Macaca fascicularis: one gene and its partners. The protein of the gene in region 2 purifies or fractionates together with the protein of the main gene of each other region. This does not show direct contact. Links are inferred from orthologs where the notes say so. Each region holds a gene or a part of one and is shown on either strand. Other genes may lie near its edges.

Evidence for each region. Proteins that work in one complex are often made in the same cells at the same time.
Region 1: the proteins of SMARCC2 (region 2) and TBL1XR1 fractionate together in Homo sapiens (co-fractionation; 3 studies listed by BioGRID, with this or other methods). This does not show direct contact. The link is inferred for Macaca fascicularis from reciprocal best matches to the Homo sapiens genes SMARCC2 and TBL1XR1.
Region 3: the proteins of SMARCC2 (region 2) and DPF2 purify together in Homo sapiens (affinity purification with mass spectrometry; 8 studies listed by BioGRID and IntAct, counting the BioPlex papers as one, with this or other methods). This does not show direct contact. The link is inferred for Macaca fascicularis from reciprocal best matches to the Homo sapiens genes SMARCC2 and DPF2.

What each region holds. Positions count from the first base shown.
Region 1 is NC_088376.1:88,764,828-88,768,478, forward strand, and holds part of TBL1XR1 (F-box-like/WD repeat-containing protein TBL1XR1), read right to left. Parts: intron 3,159-3,651; coding exon 3,026-3,158; intron 2,682-3,025; coding exon 2,540-2,681; intron 64-2,539; coding exon 1-63. UniProt on the Homo sapiens protein: F-box-like protein involved in the recruitment of the ubiquitin/19S proteasome complex to nuclear receptor-regulated transcription units. Plays an essential role in transcription activation mediated by nuclear receptors.
Region 2 is NC_088385.1:62,954,010-62,957,660, forward strand, and holds part of SMARCC2 (SWI/SNF complex subunit SMARCC2), read right to left. Parts: intron 2,523-3,651; coding exon 2,388-2,522; intron 102-2,387; coding exon 1-101. UniProt on the Homo sapiens protein: Involved in transcriptional activation and repression of select genes by chromatin remodeling (alteration of DNA-nucleosome topology).
Region 3 is NC_088388.1:9,032,622-9,036,272, reverse strand, and holds part of DPF2 (zinc finger protein ubi-d4), read left to right. Parts: intron 1-317; coding exon 318-481; intron 482-2,653; coding exon 2,654-2,746; intron 2,747-2,899; coding exon 2,900-2,978; intron 2,979-3,488; coding exon 3,489-3,530; intron 3,531-3,651. UniProt on the Homo sapiens protein: Plays an active role in transcriptional regulation by binding modified histones H3 and H4. Is a negative regulator of myeloid differentiation of hematopoietic progenitor cells. Might also have a role in the development and maturation of lymphoid cells.

The sequences.
Region 1 (3,651 bases), on a different chromosome or scaffold from region 2:
ATCTTTAGTCCATATTCTGGCAAACCCATCATAGGAACCAGTTGCTAGAAGTGTACCTTCACTCTGCCAGAGAAAAACATTTCTTTAATTATATAATCTAGATACGGTTTATAATTTAATTGTTGTTGAAGTATTTCATGTTTAAATCCCAGGTACAGAAGAGAATGAAGACATTCTCTGCTTCAAAACTTGCCAGTTTTGCCTACTTGTGAGTGCCACTAAAGGCCTATGAAACCCTTTCACTGTTGTGAAGCTAGTGTTGTACGGGGGCCTTATATCCAAAGCTCAACAACGGACAGTAATAGCTCTGGACCAGGATCTACATCATCCCGCCTCATGCGTGCCCAAAGTAGTCTCACAGACTCACACAACTAAGAATGAAGGTAGGGTGGTGGATTGGGGCGAACATCAAATTCATAATGTTAGAATGATTTATTAGAAGTAAAAAAAGGAAAACTTTAAAATGTGATTAGAAGGTTTTATATGGCCATTCCTCTAAATCCTTTACTGTCTAAAACAAAGTGTGTGTGTATGATCCAAACAATATCATTGTTTCAAATGATCGGATTCTTAAACATTTGAATGTTCCTTTCTATTATTAATCCCTTCCCACTATGAAATATTTGCCAATAAAAAGAGCAACACAAGCAAAAGAGCCAGAAAAGAGCACAGGCTGACTTCATAGTTAATGAAGTAAGTATAACTGCCTACTTTACCGGAGGAAAAGTCCATATAAATTTCTCTCAACTTATATTCCCTTGCTATGCGCCTTGCCTGGATGAATGGTGTAATAACAGGACAGATCTAACTAACTCTATGCAAACGCAAAAGTTACAGATTATAGTAAACAGACTATTGCTAGAATGACTAAACATTACTGGAGAATGAAATCCTGCATTACTTGACATATTCTTGATGGGTTTTGGTAAGGGCATTCAAAACAAGATCACCTATTTCACATCTCTCAAGCCATTTTAGGAGTATGGCTAAGTGACAAACAAAAACAAATGCTGGTTCTGGGAACTGCAGACTCAGTTCTGCTAAGACATGGCAATCCCTTAGGGCTCTATCTGAAGAAGAAGGGGAGCCATGTTGAAGTCAACAGTAAAAGCTTATTTCCAGATTCTACACAATGTTAAGTTTCCTCTAAACTATCAGTCCCTAAATGTTTTAGTTCATGAACTGCTCAACTAGGAAAAGAATACTTTAAAGATGAGAAATCTCACAGGCTCTCTTGCTTTAGCCATGAAAAAGAATCATTAATCGAGGATGATGTTTTCCAAGCTTACCGTGATTAACACATTTTCAAAAAGCCCACACTTTTCAAAACTATAAAATGCAGTTCAGAACTACCAAGCTGAACAAACCAATATTCATTCATTAACCATCCTTTTCAGTGTAAACTGTAAATTTCATTAAATTAACATGACCAGTGGGCCAGGTAGCATAAGAAAGCTATAAGATGTCTGAACTAAGATACAATAAGGGCCTATATTAAGAAAATAATTCTATCTTGATCCTACAAGTAAATAATACTACAATGTGCAAAACCCCTTTGGAATTTTTAGAATTGTCATACGGAGGGGAAGAGTAAACATGCTGCTGGCAATTTTGGAAGAAAATGCTAAAAATACCCAGTTATGATTTCTGAAAAAACATGTCACAGAAACTGAGAACTTTAGCGGGAATAACGATTTTAAAGATAGATCTCATTCCTTGGGAAAAGAATTAGAAGATCCTTTAGAAAGCCCACAAAAGTTGTTAAATAGAAGAGAAAAGAACATTCATTTGCTGAGGAAGAACTACTATCGTGAGATATTCTTTGCAATGCTGAAATATATCTAAGAGGTTTGGGGGCGTGGCGGGGGCTAGCAGGGTGAGGTAAGAGATATTATTTACAACTAAACGATGACAATTTATCAACAATGAAGTGAAAGTTTTTTGTAAGTCAGAGTAGTCAAGTTGTCCTGAAAGATGTTGAATCATACATAGAATCAGAGAATTAGAAGATTCCTACAGTGGGAATAAAATTTAGACATTATCTAGACTAATGATCCCTAAAAGGAAATTGGTAATAAAGTTGTAACAGTTCACAGAACAAAGAGAAAAACAAGAACATGTTTTCTGCTACATAGAATTCTTTTATCCCCCAACTAAGAACTCGGTTGTTACGGATTTAGTATGTTGTTTGTTATTATGGTAAGAATTTTCACCTATTATCTCAAATATTTAGGTACCATTTTCACAGATCTACTTGACATTTAAGGAAAACGAAGTACAGAGTAAACAGTAACAATTTAACCAAGGAGATGCTGCGGGATACACTAAAGAGCTGGACATTGTACCCTGGTCTAAGGCAAGTTTGTGTCTTTAACACCACAGTGGAGGAGAGGGCTGGCAGGTGACGACTCCCAGTTTGTTGTTACTAGTTAATAAAACCCCAAATTCTGAACAAATAGACAAACCGTGCCATGAGTCTGAGGCTCTGAGGGTTAGGTATACTAGTAATTATATCCATCATGGATATAGTGATACTCACATTCCAATCTAGAGATGTGACATCCTTGTTGCTTGGAACATCTTGCCCTCCTTCTCGTATACAATGTCTAAGTACTAACTGTGTAGAGCCACTGGTGCTGTTCTCACTAAGATTCCATATTCTTGCTGTTGAGTCTCCAGACCTATAAAAGTATGCAATGTATTTTAAATCCTCATGACATTCTCAACTATCAGAATCAAGGCAACATATTTACATCTGAATATTAATAAGGCAAATAAAAACTAAACTATCACAGATTTTCATTTCCAGTATTTTTCCCATTCTACACATTGGGACCCCCAAGCGTTCTCGAAACAGTAAGTTTAATTAAAAATTCTACAATTACTTCATGAAGGAATAAAACATTTACAGAGACAAAATGGCCACAAATAAGCAACAACAGAAAACCTGAATAATGCATATGTTTATAAAATGCTCAGTAAGATATTTGTAAAAGCCATTTTAGTATCACTTTGAGAAACACACCCTGATGCTAGGAGATCACTAACAGGGTTCCAGGCACAGATGAAAACTTCAGATTCATGGCCCCGCAACACAACTGCTTTATTAGGAGGGATTTCAACATCCCCATCCACTTCCATCATATCAGTATGATTATCTGCATCGTGAAAAACAAGTAAGCAATTCCAGTTAGGCAGTATTACAATATGGCGGATGGGTGAATTCTTAACTAGCAAATACCTTCCTTTATCACATACAGGGTTAACATTATCAAGTTAAGCTGAACATGACTACACAGTCTTAGTCACATAGAAAATAAATTGGTACCTTTAATTAAGTATTGACCATACTTTTTTTTTAAGAGGGATGGGGGTGGGGGTGGGATGCAGACTTTAAATGATTAGACCTAAACATGGATAAAACGATAAAATGGTTTGAACTAAACATAATGTCTACCAGTACTATTCTGAGTTTCTGCCAGTAGGGGTTGCTGATATCATTCATATAACATGACTTGCCTTTTATCTCAATGTCAGAGCGCTATGGTATTTGTTGATAACTAGTATTACAATTTCATTTAGAAATCAAATGTAGATACAAAAATTCATTTAATGATGGGAAAAGGGCTTCTAGATATTTTAAAAAGAAAA
Region 2 (3,651 bases):
TGTTGGAAGTGCTGCTGCCGAGCCCTCATCTCCGCATACTTCAGCTGCTCCATGTGGAAGGCTTGTCTGTCGGCCAGGAGCTGCTGCCTCTGATACTCCAGCTGCCAGTGCCAATTGTGTATTGTTATCCAGTTTTCAGCAGATCCCAAAGGCAAATGCCTTGACCCCTGCTTTGTCTTCTTCTGAAAGATCCTGCCTCTCAATCAGAAGGTTCCCAAAATCTACATCTTGCGCTTGTGCCTCCTCTGTCCTCCCCACCCCACTTCGTGCAAATTCCCATGACCTTTATGTCTCCTGGGTGCCCATATGGTTTCTTACTGCAATGACTTTAACCTGGTCCCAGTTCACTTCAGCTACAAAGCTCTGAACTTGCCATTACCTTGTTTTGGAAAATGCTTCCAGTTCCTTTTGTCAACTCAAGTTCTTTTCTTACTTCAAAATTCACTAAAAACTCACTGTTCTTAGGAAGCTATTCCAGATCAATTCATTTGCCTCTGAACTTTAGCTTTATTTTATGATCTCAGGACTTAGAAACTTGATGTGCAATCTCTCTTTTTTTTTTTTTTGAGACTGAGTCTCACTCTGTCGCCCAGGCTGGAGTACAGTGGTGTGATCTCACTGCAACCTCCGCCTACCTGGTTCAAGCAATTCTCCTGCCTCGGCCTCCCGAGTAGCTGCGATTACAGGTGCGCACCAGCATGCCAAACTAATTTTTTGTATTTTTTATTCTTTAGTAGAGACAGGGTTTCACTGTGTTAGCCAGGATGGTCTCGATCTCCTGACCTTGTGATCCACCTGCCTCAGCCTCCCAAAGTGCTGGAATTACAGGCATGAGCCACCATGCCCGGCCGATGTGCAATCTCTTAACGTGAACCTGTCAGATACTTTAAACCTTCTTAACTGTTTCTGATGTCTCCATATTGTATATTCATTTGATGTCTCCCATTAAACCTTAAGTTCTCTGAGGTCCCTATCTTTTATTTCTTTTTATTCTTTTTTTTTTTTGAGATAGGGTCTCACTCTGTCAACCAGGCTGGAGTGCAATGGTGCAAACATGGCTCAGTGCAGCCTTGACCTCCTGGGCTCAAACGATCTTCCCACCTCTGCTTGCTGAGTAGCTGGGACCACAGGCTAGCATCACCATGCCCGGCTAATTTGTTTATTTTTAAAAATTTTTTGGTCTGGGCACAGTGGCTCTTGCCTGTAATCCCAGCGCTTTGGGAGGCTGAGGCAGGCGGATCACCTGAGGTTGAGTTTGAGACCAGCCTGGCCAACATGGCGAAACCCTGTCTCTACTAAAAATACAAAAATTAGCTGGGCATGGTGGCATACACCTGTAATCCCAGCTACTCAGGAGGCTGAGGCAGGAGAATTGCTTGAACCCAGGAGGCGGAGGTTGCAGTAAGCTGTGATTGCACCACTGTACTCCAGCCTGGGCGAAAGAGTGAGACTCCATCTCAAAAAAAAAAAAAGGCATGGTGACTCACACCTGTAATCCAGCACTTTGGGAAGCAGAGGTGGGCCGACCACCTGAGATTGGGAGTTCGAGACCAGCCTGACTAACATGGAGAAACCCCATCTCTATTAAAAATACAAAATTAGCTGGGCGTGGTGGCGCATGCCTGTAATCCCAGCTACTGGGGAGGCTGAGGCAGGAGAATCGCTTGAACCCAGGAGGTAGAGGTTGTGGTGAGCCAAGATCACACCATTACACTCCAGCCTGAGCAACAAGAGCGAAACTCTTGTCTCAAATAAATAAATAAATAAATAAAATAAATTGTCAAGACAGGGATATCACTATGTTACCGAGGCTGGTCTTGAACTCCTGGGGGGGCTCAAGTGATCCTCTGCCTCAGCCTACCAAAGTACTGGGATTACAGATGTGGGCCACTATGCCTGGTCCCTATTGTCTGTTTCTTCTTATGTCCTCCAAAGACAAAATGGTTCAACACTGTGTCTGTTCCATTCCCTTTCCAAGTGTACCTCCTGGATCTGAGACCCTAACCCTCTATCTCATCATTCCTTAAGCCCATTTACTCAATCACTATTTGAGTCTACTATGGGTCAAGCACTGCTCAAGGACCTGGTGATACAGCAATCAAAACAACCAACTAGAGTCCCTGCCTCATGGAGCTGACCTTCTGTGGGACCTCAGTCCCCAGACTTCACTTGTGAGACCACTTAACTGTCCTTAACTGGCTGCCCTACTCCTGCCCTGTTCCTGCCCTGCTCTGCTTTGAAGCCCTGTCAGTCTCAGGCTTTCCCAACTGTTGCTTATCTCTCTTTCACTGAAACACGCGCACGCGCACACACATGCACACACACACGCCCCTCTGATTTTAAACTGAGGCACAGCACAGCAGGGTTCCAGGGCTCCTGCTACTCACTGCTTCTCGCTCCCGGTCCATGATAGTCTCCAGCTCCTCAAAGTGCCGAAGTTTGATCTCCAACTTTTTCATCTGGGTCTCCACCAGCAGGGCCACCAAAGATTTGATCTTCCTTTCCTCAACAGCAGCCAAGTGCTAGGGAAGGAGGAATGAGACAACACATCAGTGGGAGGACCAACTGAAGACAATACAGAAGAAAGGTAGGGTGGATGCTGGCAGGTATAAGAACAAACTTGCCGTGGTAACAACTCATGGTAAAAGGGCTTGACTTTTTTTGTGCTGGGATCATAGGTGTGAGCCACCGTGTCTTTTTTTTTTTGAGACAGTCTCACTGTTTTGAGACAGTTGCCCAGGCTGGAGTGCAGTGGCATGATCTCAGCTCACTGTAACCTCCACCTCATGGGTTCAAGCAATTCTCGTGCTTTAGCCTCCCTAGTAGCTGGGATTACAGACATGCGCCACCACGCCAGCTAATTTCTGTGTTTTTAGTAGAGACAGGGTTTCACCATGTTGGCCAGGCTGGTCTCAAACTTCCAACCTCAGGTGATCCACCTGCCTCAGCCTCCCAAAGTCCTGGGATTACTTACACGTGTGAGCCACTGCGGCCAGCCTTTTTAAAAAATTAAATTATTTTGGCCAGGCGTGGTGTGTCTCAAGCCTGTAATCCCAGCACTTTGGGATGCTGAGATGAGCAGATCCCTTGAGTCTAGGAGTTCGAGACCAGCCTGGGGCAACAGGGTGAAACCCCGTCTCTACTAAAAATACAAAAATTAACCAGGCATGGTGGCAAGTGCCTGTAATCCCAACTACTCGGGAGGCTGAGGTGGGAGAATCGCTTGAACCCAGAAGGTGGAGGCTGCAGTGAGCCGAGATTGTGCCACTGCACTCCAGCCTGGACAACAGAGTGAGACACCATCTCAATAAATAAATAAATAAATAAATAAATAAATAAAAGAACATGGAGGTTGGGTGTGGTGGCTCACACCTGTAATTCCAGCAATTTGGGATGCCAAGGCAGGTGGATCACCTGAGGTCAGGAGTTCAAGACCAGCCTGGTCAACATGGCGAAACCCCGTCTCTACTAAAAATACAAAGAGTTAGCCGGGCATGGTGTTGTGCGCCTGTAATCCCAGCTACTCGGGAGGCAAAGGCAGGAGAATCACTTGAACCTGGGAGGTGGAGGCTGCAGTGAGCGAGATCTGATAGAGCAAGACTCTGTCTCAATAAAAACATGGAGATACTGTGGCAAAGGGTAACACAGAGT
Region 3 (3,651 bases), on a different chromosome or scaffold from region 2:
CATACTTCCTGCGCAGAGGCGTGGCCTGCTGCATGGTTAGAGCCTGCTAATCACTACGATATACCAGGCCCAGTACTAGATCCCAAATATACTCAAGTGAATATGATGTGATTCTTTCCTTTAAAGAGCTTAGTCTAGAAGGGGAGACAGGTAAACAGATAAGTTATGGTGCCAAGTGAACTAGGGTGTCTTAATTCCTGGGCATCCGGGGAACAAAAGACAGTGACAGACCTTTGGTAAGCCCTAGCATTATGTGGACTCAGAGCAGTCTGCTTTCAGCCATTCTGAGCTTTGCTTCATCCTGATCTTGCTTGCAGACACAGACCAAACCCTGAAGAAGGAGGGGCTGATCTCTCAGGATGGCAGTAGTTTAGAGGCTCTGTTGCGCACTGACCCCCTGGAGAAGCGAGGCGCCCCGGATCCCCGAGTTGATGATGACAGCCTGGGCGAGTTTCCTGTGACCAACAGTCGAGCGCGAAAGGTACAAGATTATCCCTGTGGCTAAGGGAGCTTTGATGGAAATCAGCCTCCTCTTCACTGGGGCCATGCAGTTTCTAGAACTGAAACAGAAGCTGGGGTCCAGGAAGCAGGCCCCTGCAGTTCTGTTCTTACTTCAATCCCTGGTTATTGTCAGGTACTGACTGGCTTCTCTTTTGCTTCTAAGTATAGACTCTCACTCATTCATCCACTTTTATCACAGAACGTTATTATTATACACATATATAATTTTCATTTAAAAAATTAAAAGAGGCCAGGTGCAGTGGCTCATGCCTATAATCCCAGCACCTTGGGAGGCCAAGGCAGGAGGATTGCTTGAGCCCAAGAGCTCGAGACCAGCCTGGGCAACAAAGTGAGACCCCATATCTACAAAAAGTAATAATAAAAAAAATTACCCGGGCATAGCGGCATGTGCCTGTTGTCCCAGCTACTAGGGAAGCTGAGGTGGGAGAATTGCTTGAGCCTGGGAGTTGGAGGCTTCAGTAAGCCGGGATCATGCCACTGCACTCCAGCCTGGGCAACAAAAAAAAATTAAAACCAGAAGGTACAAGAATAGTACAAAGAAATACCGTATACTCTTTACCTAGATTTATCAGTTTCACATTTTGCCACATTTGCCTTATCTGTCTTTGCTAAACCGTTTGAGAGGAAGATGCATATATCAAAAACTTTTCAGTCTAGGCAACATAGCAGGACCTTGTCTCTACTAAAAATAAAAATAAAAAATTAGCTGGGCATGGTGGCACACACCTGCAGTCCCAGCTACTCAGGAGGCTGAGGTGGGAGGATTGCTTGAGCCCAGGAGATTGAGGCTGTAGCTCTGCTCATGCCACTGCACTCCAGCCTGAGTAACAGAGGGAGACCCTGTCTGGGGAGGGAGGGAAACAAACTTTTATCCCTAAATACTTTACTCTTTTATCACAAAAGTTTGTGTCACAAAGTTTTTTGGTCCCTGAGGTTGCACAGTGAAACACACTTGGTCTCTGCCAACAGAGAAGATAAGACTATATATAAAAATAAGAGCTATAAATATGCCAGCATTGGGCTAAGTGCTTTCTCATGCCCTTTCTCCTTTAGTCTGTACAACCTTATGGGGGAGGTCCTGTGTTCCCCATTTCACAGACAAGCTGAAACAAAGCAGTTTAAAAACTTCCCATGGGCTGGGCACGGTGGCTTACGCCTGTAATCCCTTTGGGAGGCCAAGGCAGGCAGATCATGAGGTCAGGAGATCAAGACCATCCTGGCTAACATGGTGAAACCCCGTCTCTACTAAAGATACAAAAAAATTAGCCAGGTGTGGTGGTGGGCACCTGCAGTCCCAGCTACTCAGGCATGAACCCGGGAGGTAGTGCTTGCAGTGAGCTGAGATCGCACCACTGCACTCCAGCCTGGGCGACAGAATGAGACTCCGTCTCAAAAAAAAACTTCCCATGGCCAGCCACGGTGGCTCACGCCTGTAATCCCAGCACTTTGAGAGGCCGAAGTAGGTGGATCATCTGAGGTTGGGAATTCAAAACCAGCCTGACCAACATGGAGAAACCCCGTTTCTACTAAAAATATAGTATTAACCGGGCATGCTGGCGCATGCCTGTAATCCCAGCTACTTGGGAGGCTGAGGCAGGAGGATCACTTGAACGCAGGAGACGGAGGGTGCAGTAAGCCAGTATTGCGCCATTGTACTCCAGCCTGGGCAACAAGAGTGAAACTCCGTCTCAAAAAAAAAAAAAACTTCCCACAAAGTCACACACATAAGCAACAACATTTTCATTTAAACTAGGAGGCGAGTGTCAGGACAGAACCACCAGTAATGTGCTCCCAGGGTGGCCAATCAGAGGCAGGAGAGGGCATGGCTGCTTGTGGCATCGGGGCAACCTTTTGGAAGCATGCTATTTGATTTGGCCATGTGGCATGGTAGGGAAAGCATTTCAGGCTAAGGAAATAATGTGAAGCACAGGGGAAAGAAATCCCAAAGTATGGAAGGGAGCAGGAGCAGGATTGTAGGGTGCTTGAAGGGCGTTGGTGAGAAATGAGGCTCATTCCCCTGTGGGTGGGACCAGGTCACAGAGGAGGTTCTGGGTGGCCTTGGCCAATCTCATCATAGGGGAGCTTTTGGATGCACATATTTCTACCCATGCTAACCCTGCTGTCCACTCAGCGGATCCTAGAACCAGATGACTTCCTGGATGACCTCGATGATGAAGACTATGAAGAAGATACTCCCAAGCGTCGGGGAAAGGGGAAATCCAAGGTGAGGGGCCAGCGTGCTACCTGCATCTTGGGACAGGGTGGCCTAGGGAATTCCTTGTTTTATTTCAAGTGAGATTAGCAGCCACTTCCCAAAGAGTCTAACTCCTCAGGCCCAGCTACCGCAATAAGGGTGTCTCTTTGCTCTTCTTGGCAGGGTAAGGGTGTGGGCAGTGCCCGTAAGAAGCTGGATGCTTCCATCCTGGAGGACCGGGATAAACCGTATGCCTGTGACAGTGAGTGCCTCACAAGTGGGTGGGTAGACCTTGCCTTGGACCCAGCTCCTGCTCAGGCTATGAGAGGAGGGAGGGTTATGTTTTTGCCCAGAGTATTAAAACAAACCTGGGTTCTTGTCCTGCCTGCTGACTGCTTCCGTCTGAGACCCCTGGGAGGCCTGGGGCCCTGCTATATGACGGGTGGGACCTGCATGCTCTGGGAAAGATTTCTGCCATCTTCTGGGGTGGGGTTGCTTGTGGGGGCCACAGCAGGCAGGGTTGGCCTCTCAAGAGACAGCCTGCAGGTCTCCTGGCCTCAGTTAAGCCAGGGCCCCAGGGGTCTGACACTGAGTTTTTCAACGTCTGTTCTCTTTTTCTTTCTCTCTGCCTTGCCCCGCTTCTGTCCCTCCACCCTGGGAGCACCATCGCCGCTGGGGTTTCTCTCTCGTTTGCTCCGCTTTCCTGCTGATGCTGCTCCTGTCTCAAGTGTATCAAGGCCTTCTTCTCATGACTTTTCTTTCTGTCTTTCAGATAGTTTCAAACAAAAGCATACCTCGAAAGCGCCCCAGAGAGGTAGCTCTCTCAACTTTTCAGACTTGTGGTTTTCCTGTCCCTTTTTCCCTCTTCCCTTGTTCCTCCTGCCTTTCTCATTTCCTGGGATGCTAGCTTTAAAATCTCTGGAATGGCATGGGGG